Arabidopsis thaliana: one gene and its partners. The protein of the gene in region 2 purifies or fractionates together with the protein of the main gene of each other region. This does not show direct contact. Each region holds a gene or a part of one and is shown on either strand. Other genes may lie near its edges.

Evidence for each region. Proteins that work in one complex are often made in the same cells at the same time.
Region 1: the proteins of TAFII59 (region 2) and PKL fractionate together in Arabidopsis thaliana (co-fractionation; one large-scale study listed by BioGRID). This does not show direct contact.
Region 3: the proteins of TAFII59 (region 2) and BSH fractionate together in Arabidopsis thaliana (co-fractionation; one large-scale study listed by BioGRID). This does not show direct contact.

What each region holds. Positions count from the first base shown.
Region 1 is NC_003071.7:10,712,531-10,717,106, forward strand, and holds the start of PKL (chromatin remodeling factor CHD3 (PICKLE)), read left to right. Parts: upstream 1-1,534; coding exon 1,535-1,609; intron 1,610-1,877; coding exon 1,878-2,021; intron 2,022-2,115; coding exon 2,116-2,253; intron 2,254-2,343; coding exon 2,344-2,498; intron 2,499-2,600; coding exon 2,601-2,762; intron 2,763-3,030; coding exon 3,031-3,245; intron 3,246-3,336; coding exon 3,337-3,432; intron 3,433-3,539; coding exon 3,540-3,676; intron 3,677-3,769; coding exon 3,770-3,982; intron 3,983-4,072; coding exon 4,073-4,180; intron 4,181-4,341; coding exon 4,342-4,392; intron 4,393-4,482; coding exon 4,483-4,576. Other genes in the region: AT2G25169 (uncharacterized protein), read right to left, coding at 76-185, 384-448, 813-928, 1,401-1,484. UniProt on the Arabidopsis thaliana protein: Chromatin remodeling factor that represses the expression of embryonic trait genes (such as NFYB9/LEC1) upon and after seed germination and thus enables the developmental switch to post-germinative growth. Silences some MADS-box proteins such as PHE1 and PHE2.
Region 2 is NC_003070.9:1,402,585-1,409,418, forward strand, and holds TAFII59 (TATA BOX ASSOCIATED FACTOR II 59), read right to left. Parts: upstream 4,948-6,834; 5' UTR 4,845-4,947; exon of another isoform or gene 4,622-4,844; 5' UTR 4,601-4,621; coding exon 4,475-4,600; intron 4,375-4,474; coding exon 4,288-4,374; intron 4,059-4,287; coding exon 3,957-4,058; intron 3,864-3,956; coding exon 3,755-3,863; intron 3,474-3,754; coding exon 3,373-3,473; intron 3,297-3,372; coding exon 3,159-3,296; intron 3,072-3,158; coding exon 2,976-3,071; intron 2,651-2,975; coding exon 2,526-2,650; intron 2,166-2,525; coding exon 2,033-2,165; intron 1,743-2,032; coding exon 1,617-1,742; intron 1,529-1,616; coding exon 1,022-1,528; 3' UTR 1,012-1,021; intron 857-1,011; 3' UTR 501-856; downstream 1-500. Other genes in the region: AT1G04945 (HIT-type Zinc finger family protein), read left to right, coding at 1-67; AT1G04960 (golgin family A protein (DUF1664)), read right to left, coding at 5,437-5,616, 5,874-5,930, 6,033-6,110, 6,213-6,245, 6,347-6,421, 6,768-6,834. UniProt on the Arabidopsis thaliana protein: TAFs are components of the transcription factor IID (TFIID) complex that is essential for mediating regulation of RNA polymerase transcription. Required for proper pollen function. May stabilize the interaction of TFIID with selected promoters.
Region 3 is NC_003074.8:6,016,670-6,021,504, reverse strand, and holds BSH (transcription regulatory protein SNF5, putative (BSH)), read left to right. Parts: upstream 1-1,838; 5' UTR 1,839-1,913; coding exon 1,914-1,963; intron 1,964-2,058; coding exon 2,059-2,153; intron 2,154-2,262; coding exon 2,263-2,357; intron 2,358-2,697; coding exon 2,698-2,769; intron 2,770-2,881; coding exon 2,882-2,929; intron 2,930-3,011; coding exon 3,012-3,095; intron 3,096-3,198; coding exon 3,199-3,237; intron 3,238-3,362; coding exon 3,363-3,445; intron 3,446-3,547; coding exon 3,548-3,610; intron 3,611-4,092; coding exon 4,093-4,192; 3' UTR 4,193-4,293; downstream 4,294-4,835. Other genes in the region: IAA31 (indole-3-acetic acid inducible 31), read left to right, coding at 465-589, 687-898, 997-1,081, 1,170-1,224. UniProt on the Arabidopsis thaliana protein: Component of a multiprotein complex equivalent of the yeast SWI/SNF complex, an ATP-dependent chromatin-remodeling complex, which is required for the positive and negative regulation of gene expression of a large number of genes.

The DNA.
Region 1 (4,576 bases), on a different chromosome or scaffold from region 2:
TATCTCTCTATATATTTTTGGTCAATGTCGTTGGAGATTGAATCCTAGATTAAATCCTACAAGAAGAAGAAAGCTTCATGAGAAGAAGAAGATGAAGAAAAGAGAAGAAGCCAAGCTTGGAAGAAGAGAAGAAGAAGATGTCGTGACCAAAGGAGGAAGAAGAGAATAAGAAGTTGTCGTGACCACTGACCAAAGGAGGAAGAAGAGTCAACGACACAAATCCAACATAAGAACGGAGTTGGATTTGTGTTTTGTAATAAGGCCATTGGGCCGTAAGTGAATTATAGCCCCACAAGTGTTAGTGGGTTTGGTTGGTTAAGTTTAAGCTAAATAAGTTAAGGTGGATATAACAAACATAGTTGCACCAATGCATCTCAGCTCACCTGGTCTAAGCAACGGTTTCAAGAAGTTGCTCGCTTCTATTGCTCCACGCCTCCACAAGTAGCTCCTACACAAGAGTAATAACTCATTAGTATAGAGACACAAGATTATACAAGAAATACTTAGTAGACATAATTGTTCATCTCCAGTGTTAATCCTCAATAATTGTTCGATGCAGTATTCTTCTAATGAGATGAAAAATCATTTTTATAGAGTTACCACCCATCAAAACCATTTATACAAAACGTTTTACTTGGTCAGAGTAAAAAAATGCATACAAGTATTGTGTATAAATAAAAAGGTCATCTATTAATGTATAATCTGAATCAAAAAAAGAAAGAGCACCTGCACCAATAACAATGTGAATCTCATCAATGAACAAGATTGTTTGCCCATTCGAAGCATATACTTCCTTCAATATTGTTTTAAACCTTGTCTCAAAATCTTCTCCATAATTAGCACCAACAAGGAGTGAACCCACGTCAAGAGATTTCAGCTCCATGATAAATAGCGAAACCAAGCAAAGCATGTTAAATCTTCCTCTAGCCTCTTTGAGGGGAAAAGGTAAATAAACTTAAATATTTAAAAATATCTAAGTTTATATAATAACAATATTGGGTAAGTGAAAAGTAATTGTCATTATTTTTGACACTTATTTTTATAAGTTAGAAGTAATTATAATTTTTTCAAACAAAAAAGTAAGTTTTTTGTGTGTGAAAAAATAATGATATTGAGAAGGTAATTTAATTAGAGGTGATATTTTATACCTTAAGAAGTGTATTAAAGTTAATAATAACCATAAGTTAAAATTGGTAAGCTAAATGTTAGAAATCATTTGTGTTGTCTGAATTTTCAAGTTTCGTTCGTTTCGGATTACTTTCTTCTTCTGCAAAAACAGATCCCAACCATTTCAAAGGTTCGTCTTCTCCTTCTCTTCCACACTCTTCTCTGCTTCACTTTTTACTCTATCTTCGACTAGTAATATCGCTTTCGACTTCTCAAATTACTTCTCAAGTTACTATTTTTCTCTTCCTTTCTTTCAAATTTTCGTTACAAACTGAGTTTGAAACTGTTTGGGTTTTGTAAAGTTTTGATCTTTTCATGATATTGCGGTAAGAGATTGTTAATTCGACTTCTGGGTACTCACATTTCGATGCTCAATTGTTTATTCTTATGGGTAATTTTGGCTAGGGTTTTTTCCAATTTCTCTCTCGTTCTCTTTCACAAGGTTAGTCGATCTTGCTCATGTGGTATAGAGTTTGATGAATCGAGTTGTTTAGTAGCTATTGTACGAACTATCTCTTGATATAGTTGTAAAGGTTTTAGATTGGGAACAAAAAATTTCACTGTGATGTTTGTTTAGGTAGTAGAGTTCAATTGTGTGAAACTCTAATTTCATAGTTTGCTTAAGTCTCAGAACTAGCACTGAGTCTATTGTTATATGTGTTGTTTATGTAAGTTTGTTGTTATTGATGGGAGATATGTTTTGTGTGCAGAAAATGAGTAGTTTGGTGGAGAGGCTTCGCATACGATCTGATAGGAAACCAGTTTATAACCTAGATGATTCTGATGATGACGACTTCGTTCCTAAAAAAGATCGAACCTTTGAGCAAGTCGAGGCTATTGTCAGAACTGATGCGGTTTGTTTCTCCTCTCGAGCTTATTGTTCAGCTTTTACTGTTTTATGTGTTCTATTTTAATCCTTTTTTTTGTGTTGTTACTCTGAATTTGTAGAAAGAAAATGCATGTCAGGCTTGTGGGGAAAGTACTAATCTTGTAAGCTGCAATACATGCACTTATGCGTTCCATGCTAAATGCTTAGTTCCACCTCTTAAAGATGCTTCCGTGGAAAATTGGAGATGCCCTGAATGTGTAAGATTTTAGTTACGGTCCACAATTATGTTTTGGGATGCTACAGGTTCCATTTTTCTTACATGGAAGAATTGTTGTTTACATTTGCAGGTTAGTCCTCTTAACGAGATAGATAAGATATTGGATTGTGAAATGCGTCCTACAAAATCTAGTGAACAAGGTTCCTCCGATGCGGAACCGAAGCCAATTTTTGTGAAACAGTATCTCGTGAAGTGGAAGGGATTATCATACCTTCACTGCTCTTGGTAGTTACTGCGTGTCTTTTTTGCTGTCTGGACACGCTAATTATCAATGTTTCTTTCTGTGAACACTATAATATGTGATTTATTTCCTTTTACTAATCATAGGGTGCCTGAGAAGGAGTTCCAGAAGGCTTATAAGTCAAATCATCGTTTAAAAACCAGAGTGAACAATTTTCACCGTCAAATGGAGTCATTCAATAACAGCGAAGATGATTTTGTTGCCATACGTCCTGAGTGGACCACTGTTGATCGGATTCTTGCCTGCAGGTCTAGAGAATGGAATTAATTCCTTTATTTATCTATCTGCCAACTTTTTTTTTAATATCCTTGTTTTCAGCATAATCCATTCTCTAATAAACACGTATCTTTGATAGAGTGCTGCTTAACCTAAATTTACTGTTATCACGATTTTGGGTCTCTGAAACATGATAAATGACCTGCTTACCTTTTTTTTCTTCTTTTTAAGTTACCATTTTCTTAGTTGTTTCGTAAATCAGGAATTGTGACAGTTGCATTGGTTTCTTTTATGATATAGAGAGGAAGATGGGGAGCTGGAATATCTTGTCAAATATAAAGAGCTATCCTATGATGAATGTTATTGGGAGTCAGAATCAGACATCTCAACCTTCCAGAATGAAATTCAAAGGTTCAAGGATGTAAATTCTAGAACTCGCAGAAGTAAAGATGTTGACCATAAAAGAAATCCCAGAGACTTTCAACAGTTTGATCATACTCCTGAATTCCTCAAAGGTATTTGGATCACCTTAAATCATATACTATAAATGTTTCTTATATTTGGTACTTATAGATGTTATGATTTATTTGTTTCCTGCGATTGAAGGCTTGTTACATCCATACCAGCTTGAGGGACTTAATTTTTTGCGGTTCTCGTGGTCAAAACAGACGCATGTAATCCTTGCTGATGAAATGGGACTAGGTAATTTTTCAATTGTCCCACTTGGGTGGTCACATAGATCTTTTCATCCATTGTAAGGGGCCTTTGTTTTCTATTCCTGTAATGTTGTGAGATTTTTCCTGTTACAGGCAAGACAATTCAAAGCATTGCCCTTTTAGCTTCACTTTTTGAGGAGAACCTCATTCCGCATTTGGTAATTGCTCCTCTATCGACTCTGCGTAACTGGGAGAGAGAGTTTGCCACATGGGCCCCACAGATGAACGTGGTATGTATGCAGTTATACACGCAATGATCTGTGCCATTTGTATGTTTTTGTTGTTTGTTAATGGAATGGTCTTCGTGGTCATTTGACGGGTAGGTTATGTATTTTGGCACTGCGCAAGCTCGAGCAGTTATCAGAGAACATGAGTTTTACTTATCGAAAGATCAAAAAAAGATCAAGAAAAAGAAATCTGGACAAATAAGTAGCGAAAGCAAGCAAAAAAGAATCAAGTTTGATGTCCTCCTCACATCGTATGAGATGATCAACCTAGATTCAGCAGTTCTAAAACCAATTAAGTGGGAGTGCATGGTAACTCTTATTCTCTAATGAGACTTTACTTTCTCTTAGTCGTCTCTCTTTCTCTCTTACATGTTGCCTAGTAACAATTGTTTTGGGCAGATTGTTGATGAAGGTCATCGACTGAAAAATAAGGATTCAAAGCTGTTCTCTTCATTGACACAGTATTCAAGTAACCACCGTATTCTTCTGACAGGAACACCACTTCAGGTTCGTCATTTGAGTTTGATTTCTGAAGTTTATACTTTCAATAGTTGTATCTGAGCATAGTAGCTACGATTTGCAATGAGAATTGTTATATATTATCTTGCACTAATGTCTTACCTGATTAGTTGCAATATGTTACTGATGATTATGTGGTGCCTTTACAGAACAACTTGGATGAACTTTTCATGCTCATGCATTTTCTTGATGCGGGGAAGGTATCACAAGAATAGCAAAGATAAATAAGTTCGCATACTTAACAGAATTTTATGTAGCTAACATGTTATTTGATTGCACAATACTTGCAGTTTGGAAGTTTGGAGGAGTTCCAGGAGGAGTTCAAAGATATTAATCAAGAGGAGCAGATCTCAAGGTTGCACAAAATGTTGGCTCCACATTTGC
Region 2 (6,834 bases):
CCAAAATTTAGATACTGATTTCATCGCTGATGGACTAGATTTAGAAGAAGGGGAAATCGTCGAATGATGGTCATAGTCTTGTTCTGGCAAAAAGGAATTACTCTCTGTGAAACATTTTTGAGGATTATGTTCATGCCTGAAGCTCTCTTGTTCGAGCACATTAGCTATACTTGGTAATAGCCAAAGCTTTTACTGGAATGCAATAAGCCACAGCACTGATGGTCATAAGTTTTCGGTCTGGGCTTTGATCAACAGGTATTTCTTTTGTAGTAAACCAGATTACTAGGCTGTTCTGTGGTTTGTAGCAAACTTGATTGTTTACATACAAGATAGTTAACTTAAGAATGTCTCCGAAACTTTTGTTCAGTCTTATCCTCCTATAGATCCTCATAAATTAATCTTGTTGTCTTTCAGATCTTCTTTATAGTCAATGTAATACAGACCAAACCTTGTAGTTTGCCCAAAAGTTTTCTAGCAACGGACCAGAAGGATCAACAATAGATATAATCTATGAACGGATATTATATGTAAAGAGTAAATAAGCAAGAGAGCATACATGTAAACAACAATATCAAAAATTGCAATCTAGATCATACAGATTTGAAGAGAAATTATTTCATGGATTACATTTGAGAGTAAACAAATAAGTCCACTACGGAATCATTAAAATTCTCTTAATATATACATTGCAACCGGTTCAATTCAACTCAACCCACTCTGCAGGCTCCTAAGGACTTTGAAATCCCTCAAGCTTAAAAAGAAGAACTAAAGAGTTGACCTGAGAACAATGGCACGGATCTAAATGAGTTTATGTATGCCAACCAGACGGCGCTTTAATCTCTCCAAGCCTCCTTCTCTGCTTGAAAATCATCAAACATCTATTTCATTAGCATTAATGTATTGAGTATCATTATTCTTTTGATTTCACATATTTATTGCATTCACGACTGGAACCATGAGTTTTATATCGATGAGGTAAATATCAGGAAGTTGGGGAATAGAATAGCTCACCTCTTATTGGTTAGAGGAATACTGACATCTCTGTAGAAGGGATAAAGGGAAGAATCCTATCACCATAGAGTTCGTGCAGTTTCACCAATAGCCGTCCGGAATCAAGATCATCTTTCCATATCTGATCAAGGATTGCTTTCATGGTAATAGCCCGACTCCTGCCGCTTTCTTTCACCTTTCCATTTCTGCTTTCAGATTCGTTAGCATCAGAGGCTTGTTCTGATGAGGATGGCTGAACAGAGTTTTGTGGCGGATTGTCATTTTCCACTGGATTATCTACTTGCATTGGAGCTGAGCCAGATTGATCTTGTGAATGTACACCATCTGGCCCATCCATGGTTATCAATCTTTTCTGCGGTGATTGGTTTTCTGAAGAATCTACACTCAGCTTCCGCTTGTGGGGATCAGTACTGATTATCTTTCCCTTTCCCTTTCCCTTATGGAGAAAACTTGGTGACGGAGATGGTAAAGGTGGGAAGATTTTAAGCCGGCCATGTATACACAAGCCTGCAGCACGCTGAAAAGAAAAAGGGGGCAAGTCCATCTAAGGATTGTCCACTGAGAATTCTACAAAGATGAAATTTTACAAGGATGTGTTTACTAACCAGCAAGGCTCCATATACACGCCAAGCTTCGTAGATCTTCATCTGATTTTTTTGCTTCTCAGCATTCAATTCAGGTTCGAGAAGACTTAGATATGGTTCGAGATTTGATAGAATAAGAAGGCGTACCTACACAATATATGACATTCAGATGACAACAGATAACAATGCAGGATAGCTGTGCTAAAGTTTTTGGTAGCAGGGGTATCTGATTCACTGGAGTAGCCGTTTAAGACGATAAAAGTCCTAATTTCCCAATAAAATGAATAAGCAAACCCGGAAAAATGGTATGGGCAAATCAAATTGTATCTCAGATTCTGAAAAGTCCCTAGATTGAAGGACAAGCTGGGTAACATTATTTCTCGGTGATATCTGAAATAGCATGCACAAACTTTCTGAAAGGTCAAGGAATGACTTACAACAGTGTGCCCCAAAGCTGCTAATCCTTGAATCGCACCATAGTGCTGAGTCAAAGCCTTCTTTGGGTCCAGCAGTGCATTGACTAAAGTTCTGGTAAGACGAGACTGAAGAGTTATATAAACGGTTCCATACCTGCAAGATTTTATTAAAATCACAGGATTTCAGATGCTAAAAGAATATAAAGGTGAGATATGTAAAATAAAAGTGCGAGACAATGTACCCTTTTAAATAATGAAGAAGACTATAGCAAGTTATTACTAATTGTTGTTAATATAGATCTAACCATTTGTTTTTCAGCTCGAGCAAAAAAGAAGTAGATATCAATAGTAAAGAGATCAAACAAGATAAACTTAGCAGAACATCTATGGATAATCATCTCATGATATTTCCTTATAGAATTTCATTATTAGCTCCAGTAAGAAATCATGTATAGATCCCCACAATCAACCAAAACAAACACAGAGTTCATGACATGAAAGGGAAATAATGAACCTTTTACATATCAGTGAAACCAGATTTGCCGCAAAATCTCTGAGTTCCCAGTGGTTGTCAGCAAATCTATTTCCAAGCTTTCTTGATACAAGGCATGTTACAACAGATGGCATCAACTGGTGCAGCTGGCACCAAAAGAAAAAGTTCACTCAGCTTCATGGTTATGAAACATTGCTCAAACAACCAACTCATTATCCCAAGGCTGGTTTACATAATCTCAATACAGATCAAAGGCAAAACTTGTTGTTATTTCAAGCAGACTGAGAGTACTTAAGCACTCGAGCTTGCAGACCTCGGACAAACACTACCACTAACCATTTGATACCCATTATATAGAATATGTCTAATATAGAACTTGAAGAAACCCAAATCAGAAGCCTAAAGAAAATGGAGCTACATGATTCTACAATTTTTTAGATAGTGGCAAAAGATAATCCAGAGAAAACTTACATAAGGTTCTATGTGTATGTGAGGATTCTGTAGAAGACTTCTAACAATGTGCATTAGATTAAACAGGAGTCGGAAGTCATTTAAGCCATTTGAAACCTGCACAAGTGGAGAAAATTAAAACTGCAAAAACTTAACGTGGGTCTTATTGGTTCACACTAGTTCCTCGGTGGTGCATAATGTTACCTCATCAGCAATGAAATTTGTAAAATATGGAACTAGAGGATGAAGTCCTGAGTCTGAGGCCAAGCTCACTAATGCTTCTTTATACAGAGGAGGATTTGACTTGCTCATTGCAAGTTCAGCAATCTTTTGGAAGTATAACTGTGAAGAGAGAACAACAGATAAGTCCTATGTATGTAAGGATATTACCCTATGATATTTAGACTGCACCATATACCTGAAGTTCCCTAGATAGTACATGCTTCACTGGTAGCCTAACGTCAATAAGAGGTCCGTCTTTTTGTTCATGGATTTTGGTTTCTGCAGGTGCTCTAATGACTAGAGACAACACAAACAAGTGAAAAATATAGTCAAGATAGGAAAGAACAAGGATTTCTTGCTCATGCGGATCCGCAAAACAATAATACAGATGGATCTGAAAATATGTATTTTGATCTTTCAGTAACATCAGTAAGCTCACCACTTAACACGGGGTAACTGTAGAAAGAGGTTTATACACCTCTGAAACGTCATTGTACATACTAATATTTGTTTCATGTTGAAAAATTCATATAATGACTTTACAACTCTAGCCCAGGGCATAAGATTGAGAGACAAACCTTCTAAAGGAGCATTTTCTGGTATAGCTGGTTGCACTCCTTCAATAGCCAGCCAGTGACAAACAATTTCAGTATCAAGGGGAGCTTTTGGCAGCGGGGCTTCGATCACCTAGAATCATGACATTTCTTGAAAACATAAGGAACCCAAAATGAAGAATTTAACTGAAACAAAAAAAACATGCCAGCTTTTCCAACATCTTACATCTTTGAAATCCACTTCTCTGTCATCAGTGTAGAACAAATCGCGATGTCCAATAGCTTTTCTAAAACGAAATGGCCCTCCTGAGGCAAATCCATATATCGGCTGCAATAGATATAATCACTCTCAAAAAGATGCCTTTGATTCAGTTGACTACAATAGTGAAATATGTGAAAGCAATGTGTAACAGATGGTGTTATTCATATGCACCAGTAAAGCCAAACCTCAAAACTAGAAACCATATATCTTTGTCACTCAACTACAAAAACCAGGAAGCTTACACAACCAAAACTCTAGATAATGGGAAGTAAGAAATAGGTCATCGAGTTTGTACCTCAACGTTCCTTAAGTTGAGAGCACCATCTACATCCGAAGCTGTTAAAGTCGTTCTCTTTGAGTGACGCATGCATTTGATAGCTTCCTGAAAGGACATCCAAAGAGAAGGTACAGAAAGATCAATATGCTGATACCAGAAAACTCACCTCAAGAACACAAAGACATGATTAGAAAAAGAAGGTAACCTGCATGATCTCTCGGACACGATACTCAACATCAGGAGCAAGCATAAGAGCAGCTTCAGGTAACAAGTTGGTAATCCCAATACTTTGAGCTATTACCTCAACCGTTTCCTTAGGTACAATGCTCATCTTCCCCAGGCTGCTTATCCACTGTGGCGATACAAGGACACAGAAGAAACATCAACAGTGGTTATATTAAGTAAGAAAAAAGCACAAAAAATCATTGGAACCTCCCAATTAAACCATTGTTGGGCATACACAATGAATCGCAATTCAACAGCCCAGAAGACAAAGGCTGCTTCCATACTCCGTAAAAGTGTGAAATTTGTCCCGTTAACCAAAATTCGAGCACAAAAATAAGTTGGAAATTTACATGAACCGGAGAGGGATTTGCGTTGAGCGACGAAGATCCAGACACTTCACTTGAGAGGAAAGAAGCTCCGATTAACCGATGCCAAGCCTCTTGTTAATATAAGAAGCCGGGCCGGGTTTTTTAATTGCTGTCAAATTCACCCGGTTGGACTATTTCGGGTTAAATTAAATTTGGGCTGTCTCTATATCTATTTTGGGCCAAGGCCCAATAAGAGCGAAATATTTTATTTCTCTGCCAACTAAAGACAATTAATCCTACGAGAAAGGACGAAACAAATGTTTCAAGACAGTAGTTCTGTCTTCTGTGGTAGTTCTTTCTATTTTCTACACAAACAAAATTGATCCAAACACAAAAGGAAAAAGGAGCACAAAAGTCCAAATCAATGAAGACATCAACATACGTGAAAGCCTTAATCACACTCTTTCTTTACAAACATCAAGACCAAATATAATTAGGGGCAAACCAAATTGTTGGTGGATGCAATAACATATGTAGATTTTTCTTCTTTTTACATGAAAAAATAATTGCCAGTCCCAGTATCAGAATTTGGGACGAATACAAGCAATTTCTTTGTATATCAACCAAAATAATATTAGGATAGTCCTGAAACATCCCGTACCCAAGATATTCCACCTGGAAACGCTCTATGAACTCTGCTTCTTCCCGCTGCAGTGACTTTTGTTTTTTCCCCCATCACCATAATTTCTTTCGCCATAACCGGCTTGTGTATTACATTTGCATCCTCTTTGCCTTCCGTCAGAAACCGCAGACCCTGGAGTTTCCATAGTTTTATAGTTTTAGAAAGCCAAAGAAACATCATGACATGAAATCATCAAATAACAGCTACTACCACAAGTATTTTCAGGTTCCAATTTTTATTCGAATAAGCTTGATGAGAGATTGCCTTGAATATATGCAAATTCAAGATCAACCATCTCGTTGAATTTTTTCACTATAAGCAACTTTTTTGCGTCAACAGAATGGAAATGCACATTTATATGATGGAAAAAGGTATAGTAGCATTCTTACAGAGAGAGAAGTATTAGTGGATGGTTTTCCATCAATAGGTAATCTCTCACCAACATCCTAAACCACAAAGCCAGAAACAAGATTTTTTTCATTAAGGCCTATAACTACGTGAAAAATAAGTAAGAAAACGTTTCACTTAATTTGTAAGTTAACACTCACCTGAAATACTTTAGTACTTGTGCTGTCTTTAACGCCTGCAACTTGACATAGATGCCATAGTCCAGAGAGGGTCACATCCTAAAATTTTAACAAAAAAAATATCTGTTTGAGATCAATTAGTTTTAAGAAAATTGATAGCGTGAAGTGGTTTGTAGTATCTAATGGTTGTAGACAAATTACTTGTTTGCTTTCAAGACTTTCAATCTTCCCTTCCTGTAAAAATTTCATATAAGAGAGTAAAGATATATTAGCCCCTTTAAAATATGCATATTAGAGGGCAATGATGCATATTAGAGGGCAATGATGAGACTTACTATTCCAGAAATCATTTCATTAAGTTGCTTAAAATCAAACCCAATTTGCGAAATGCTTGATCTCATCTCAGTAACCTGAATTGAAGCAAGATTCCATGTGAGCATTAGCATTAAAATGAATATCAAAGAAAGGCATAGATGGAGTAAATCGCAGATATGAGAATCAAGCTGTAATTTGAAAGAAACAAAGGACTCTACTGTACATGTGAAGAAAAACAGTTCAGGGCCAAAGAGATAGGACGTTAATAAATAAATACTCTACAATCTTTTGGAATTCCTAAATGTGTTTTAAATTCTTCTAAGATGTTAAATGTACAAGAGGAGATCTCTCTCAGACGAATGTATAAGTATCCTAATCTTAAGTCTAAGGAAAAAATAAGGCATCAATACAAGAAAGTGAGAAATAAAACGGGTTCCTTACATCACTTAAGATCATTTTAGATGTCTCATTCTGCTCTTCCACCTTCCAATCCAAGGTCGCTAGCTTC
Region 3 (4,835 bases), on a different chromosome or scaffold from region 2:
ATCAAAGCCTTAACAGATTAACTCCAACATCATTTAGACACACTTTCCTTGGATACCACCTTTTTACGGAAACTTCGAATCTTACATGTAAACAAATCTCAAAACCATAATTTCACATTTTTACTACTAACTAACTCCAAAGATCTAAACCCATGAATTAAGTATCTAATCGGGTAATTATTACAGTGGTTTTCAGAAATCAATGTGTGTTCATATTTAGAAGGTTGAAAGTTCATAGTTAAATGTGGGGAACCTTATGTTCCTATTATTTATTTATATTAAATTTCAAAGTCGATTAAATCAATTTTTAAATTCAAAATCTATGCAATAGAATCACCTACTAGTCCTTTTTTGTTTAACTAGACAGAGAGAAATAGAAATAGAGAGAGAGAGACATGAAGAGCACTCTCAATAGAGAAGAGAAGGAAGCATGAAGCTAGCTCTGCAGCTTCAAGGTCTCATTAATGGAGGTCTCTAACTCTTGTTCTTCATTTTCTTCATCCTCTGTCGACAGTACTAAACCTTCTCCTTCTGAATCTTCTGTTAATCTCTCCCTTAGTCTCACATTTCCTTCTACTTCTCCACAAAGGTCTTATTCACATCACTTCTCTGTTTTTTCCTATGTTCTGTTTTTGCTCTGTTTTCTTTTGTTCACATTTGTGTTTTAAATCTTTATTTTTTTGTAGAGAAGCAAGACAAGATTGGCCACCGATAAAGTCTAGATTAAGAGATACACTAAAGGGTCGTCGTCTTCTTCGTCGTGGTGATGACACTTCTCTCTTTGTTAAGGTTTATATGGAAGGTGTTCCCATTGGAAGAAAACTCGACCTTTGCGTATTCTCAGGCTACGAGAGTCTATTAGAAAATCTCTCTCACATGTTCGATACTTCAATCATCTGTAAGTAATTAATGAACAACACATAATTCCGTAAAAACAACATTCAACTAAATTCAAACAGTTTGAAGTATATCCATGCATTGTCTTGGCTATAACAGGCGGTAATCGAGATCGAAAACATCATGTTTTGACATATGAAGACAAGGATGGAGATTGGATGATGGTCGGAGATATTCCATGGGAGTATGAATCTTATATCTTGATCTTACATTGGTATAATTTCCTCGGTTATAGCTATTCTCTAATTTTTGAAATCGATGTTTTTGTTTAGTATGTTTCTTGAAACCGTGAGAAGACTAAAGATCACGAGACCGGAGAGGTATTAAAACTTGGATCGGTCAAGGCTGTGATTGCGCAGTTACGAGACGTGTAAGATTTAGGCATTGATGAAGAGACTTGAGGCGGGACGGAGCTATTGCTGCATATTGCAACAAAGGCCTTGAAGAAGTTGGAGAATTGATTGATGCATATATTTATTTATATGACACCTTTGAGTGTGTTTTTTCTTATAAATAAATCACAATATCCAAGACTTCTCTTTTTTGTTCTGAATAATAATAATGCAAAGATTTTTTATATGTTTGTAATCGTGTGTTTCTTCGAATGTGTTACATGACTAGGAAAAAAGTACACGAACGTTGTTATGGGGAGCACGAACATGGAATAGAGGAACGTTGTCAGGAAGAGAATGATTCTCTTTGATCTGCCGGCAGCCGTCTCGTTGGTTGTCACCAATGTACAATTTTAATGTTGAGCCCATTTAAAGCCCACTAAATGACTAACAAGCTCGTTTAAAGCCCAAATGCTGCAATTGATCGTAGGATCGGATCCAGATAATTCGTCCCAAAATGGGAAAATTCCAAATTAGAGGTGAAATGTGTAAAGACATTAGAATATAAGGGTGATTCTGAAATAAATTAAGCTAGCGCCGGAAAAAGATCGAGAAATTGAAATTTCCCACACTCTCTCGCTGACTCTCTTCGAAACTCAATTTGTGAAATTTGGGGGTTTAAGGATGAAGGGTTTAGTGTCTACTGGTTGGAAAGGTCCCGTCAAGTTCAGGATGTAAGTTTCGTCGCTTCCTCTACTTTGTTTGTTTTGAAATCGAAATCGAGTTCATGTGTTTTTGTTTTTTCTGATGAATCGATTTGTAATCGGAGCTATAGGCCCACTGCTGAAAACTTGGTACCTATTCGATTGGACATTCAATTCGAAGGTCAGCGTTACAAAGATGCTTTCACTTGGAACCCTTCAGGTTTCTCTCTTAAAAACCCTACCTTTTTTTTTGTTTTCCATCTTCTCGCATCTTATTACAGTAGCAGTGTATGTGATTCACTGATTCTTGTTTTTGGTTTTGGATACAGACCCGGATAATGAAGTCGTTATCTTTGCCAAAAGAACTGTTAAAGACTTGAAACTTCCCTATGCATTTGTCACTCAGATTGCCCAATCTATTCAGGTTGTTTCTAAACTAGTTCACACTGACCTATCTTTAGTTTTTCTTCTGCTCTGATTTTGTTGTTAGTTCTTTTGCTTGTCATAGAGATGAGCTTAAATTTAAGGTCACCTATTAGTCTTAAACCAATCACACTTTCGACTTATTGTTTTTAACTCTTTAGGTTTTTTTACTCGAGAAGAGGCCTGTTTATAGCATTGTACTTTGGGATGTATATCTGTAAGACTGTGCTTTTGTGATGAATGTACTCTTGCTTCAGTTATGTTCTGTTCTGTTTTTGTAAGTATTGGAATAATTTCTTCAGAAATCTCTACTTACATTGGTCAACTTCCTGCTTTATCAGTCTCAGCTCTCAGACTTTCGGGCTTATGAAGGACAAGACATGTACACTGGTGAAAAAATCATACCAATTAAGGTTTTATGACGCTAGATATCCTTATCCCTCTCTCTTTTGTCCATGAGTGATTTGTTGGAAAAAAAGAAGTTCTAGAAGCTGATAAGCTATCTTTCTTTCTTTTTTGTGCCAGCTTGATCTCCGAGTTAACCATACTCTCATCAAGGATCAGTTCTTATGGGTGAGAATACTTGGTGATTTTGAACAATTTCAACTATTGTTTGTACTCTTTTTCTCAGTGCAGCTTGATTGCCGTTTTGCAGGACCTAAACAATTTTGAGAGTGATCCTGAGGAATTTGCAAGAACCTTGTGCAAGGATTTAGGTGTTGAAGACCCTGAAGTTGGAGTAAGATAACCACTCAATTTTTTACATTTCATTATCTGAACTAATGAACCTAAGTTTCAAACGTTTGATACAAGTGATTTTTGGTTTCTCCTTCTCTCTGAAGCCTGCTGTTGCCTTTGCAATAAGGGAACAACTTTACGAGGTTAAAACTTTGATTGTAACTTTAAGCTACTCTCTCTGTATTTCTGTATACTCTATATATGTTTTCTATTTTGAACAAGAATGCCAAACTTACTGAGTTACCATGTCGTTGTTTTTGCTTGCCAGATTGCAATTCAAAGTGTGGCTTCAGCTAGGGAGAGTAGATTAAGCAAGAAAGGCCGCAGAGGATCTGATCATGGTTCAGCGAGGTATGTTCACGTTGCCCCTATTTGTCTATCCAAGTTACCTTGTGGTAATATTAGAGCCTAGCTCAAAAAATTCTAAAATAACTTTCCATCTTATATGTGCAGCAAGGCAAGTGGCCTGTCAATGGACTTAATGAAGTTATTCAGTTTTAAGTCCAGTGTAGTTCGGTAAGTGATTTTCTTACCCACTTAATGCATACATTTTCTCTGTTGCATTGTCTTCTTAAGATCTGTTGGACGACTGACTTCTAGCAGCTAGATCGTTTATAAGATAAGTTAACTTTGCGACACATCCTGAGCGTTTTTCTTACACATACTCTTGAATGCCACCTCTTCATGCATTATATCATTTGATAGTAGATTATCCCAATATTTGGAGCTGGTCCCTACTGAGATTGTTCTAATAGTAATTTCTGGTGATGTTACATGTTGTTATTGAACATAGAAAACCGAATCACTAGGTTGGAAATTGTTTGATTACAAAATAAACTCTGTGGAAATTGAAGAAGTTCTCTTCCTGCATTGCTTATCACTAAATGGGAGTTTTTCAAAAAATAAGATTTATGGACACGAACAAATTTGACTTGCAAGACCAAGCAAAAGCTATAACAGAATCCAAAAATAACAAATTTTGTCCATGATCTTGACAGGAAAAGGAAAGACTTGGATGTTTATGAACCAGTTGTGGATCTGCTAACAAGTGAGGAAGTTGATGCGCTTGAAGCCAGGGAAGAGAGACATGCAAGGTGAAGAGTTTCGTTTACATGTATAAATATTTCTTAGGGCAACACTCAAAATATGTTGTATCATGCTTAACTTGAGTTAATGATATTAAGACAATCTTTTATGAGACACATAATCCTTAAGATGCATCCGGTGTGTATGAGTGCCCTGGCCTAAGTATGAGATTTCGGTTTAGTAAACCTGGTTAGGTGAAACACCAGTGGGTGTGGAATGAAGAATCTTTAGATGATATAACCTCAATGGGACATGTTAGGTTTGCAGAGTTGAGTGAAACCATTTCTTCACTCTTTGATTAAGATGTTTCCCAAACTTTGAGCATGTTAAAGAATGTTAGAGAGAGAGTTAGAGGATTAAAAAAAATATAGTAATGAAAGAAAGAAAGAAAAATGAAGGAGATTCAAAGGACAAGACACGTTGTGAGAATCAAGTGACCCACTTGAGACTTTAATAAGATCTCATCATCAACCATTAACCTCACTGTCGATATACGGTCGTACTTTTTCTTCTATTCTCTTCTCTTTGCCCTTTTTTTTTTCTCTTTTTCTTGATTCAATGATTGGGTCCCTCTCTAAGCTCAAGCTGCTGTCATCTAAATTAATTAATATGCGAAAATAAAAATTATTGGGTTTATTTTTGTTGGAAGTTTTGT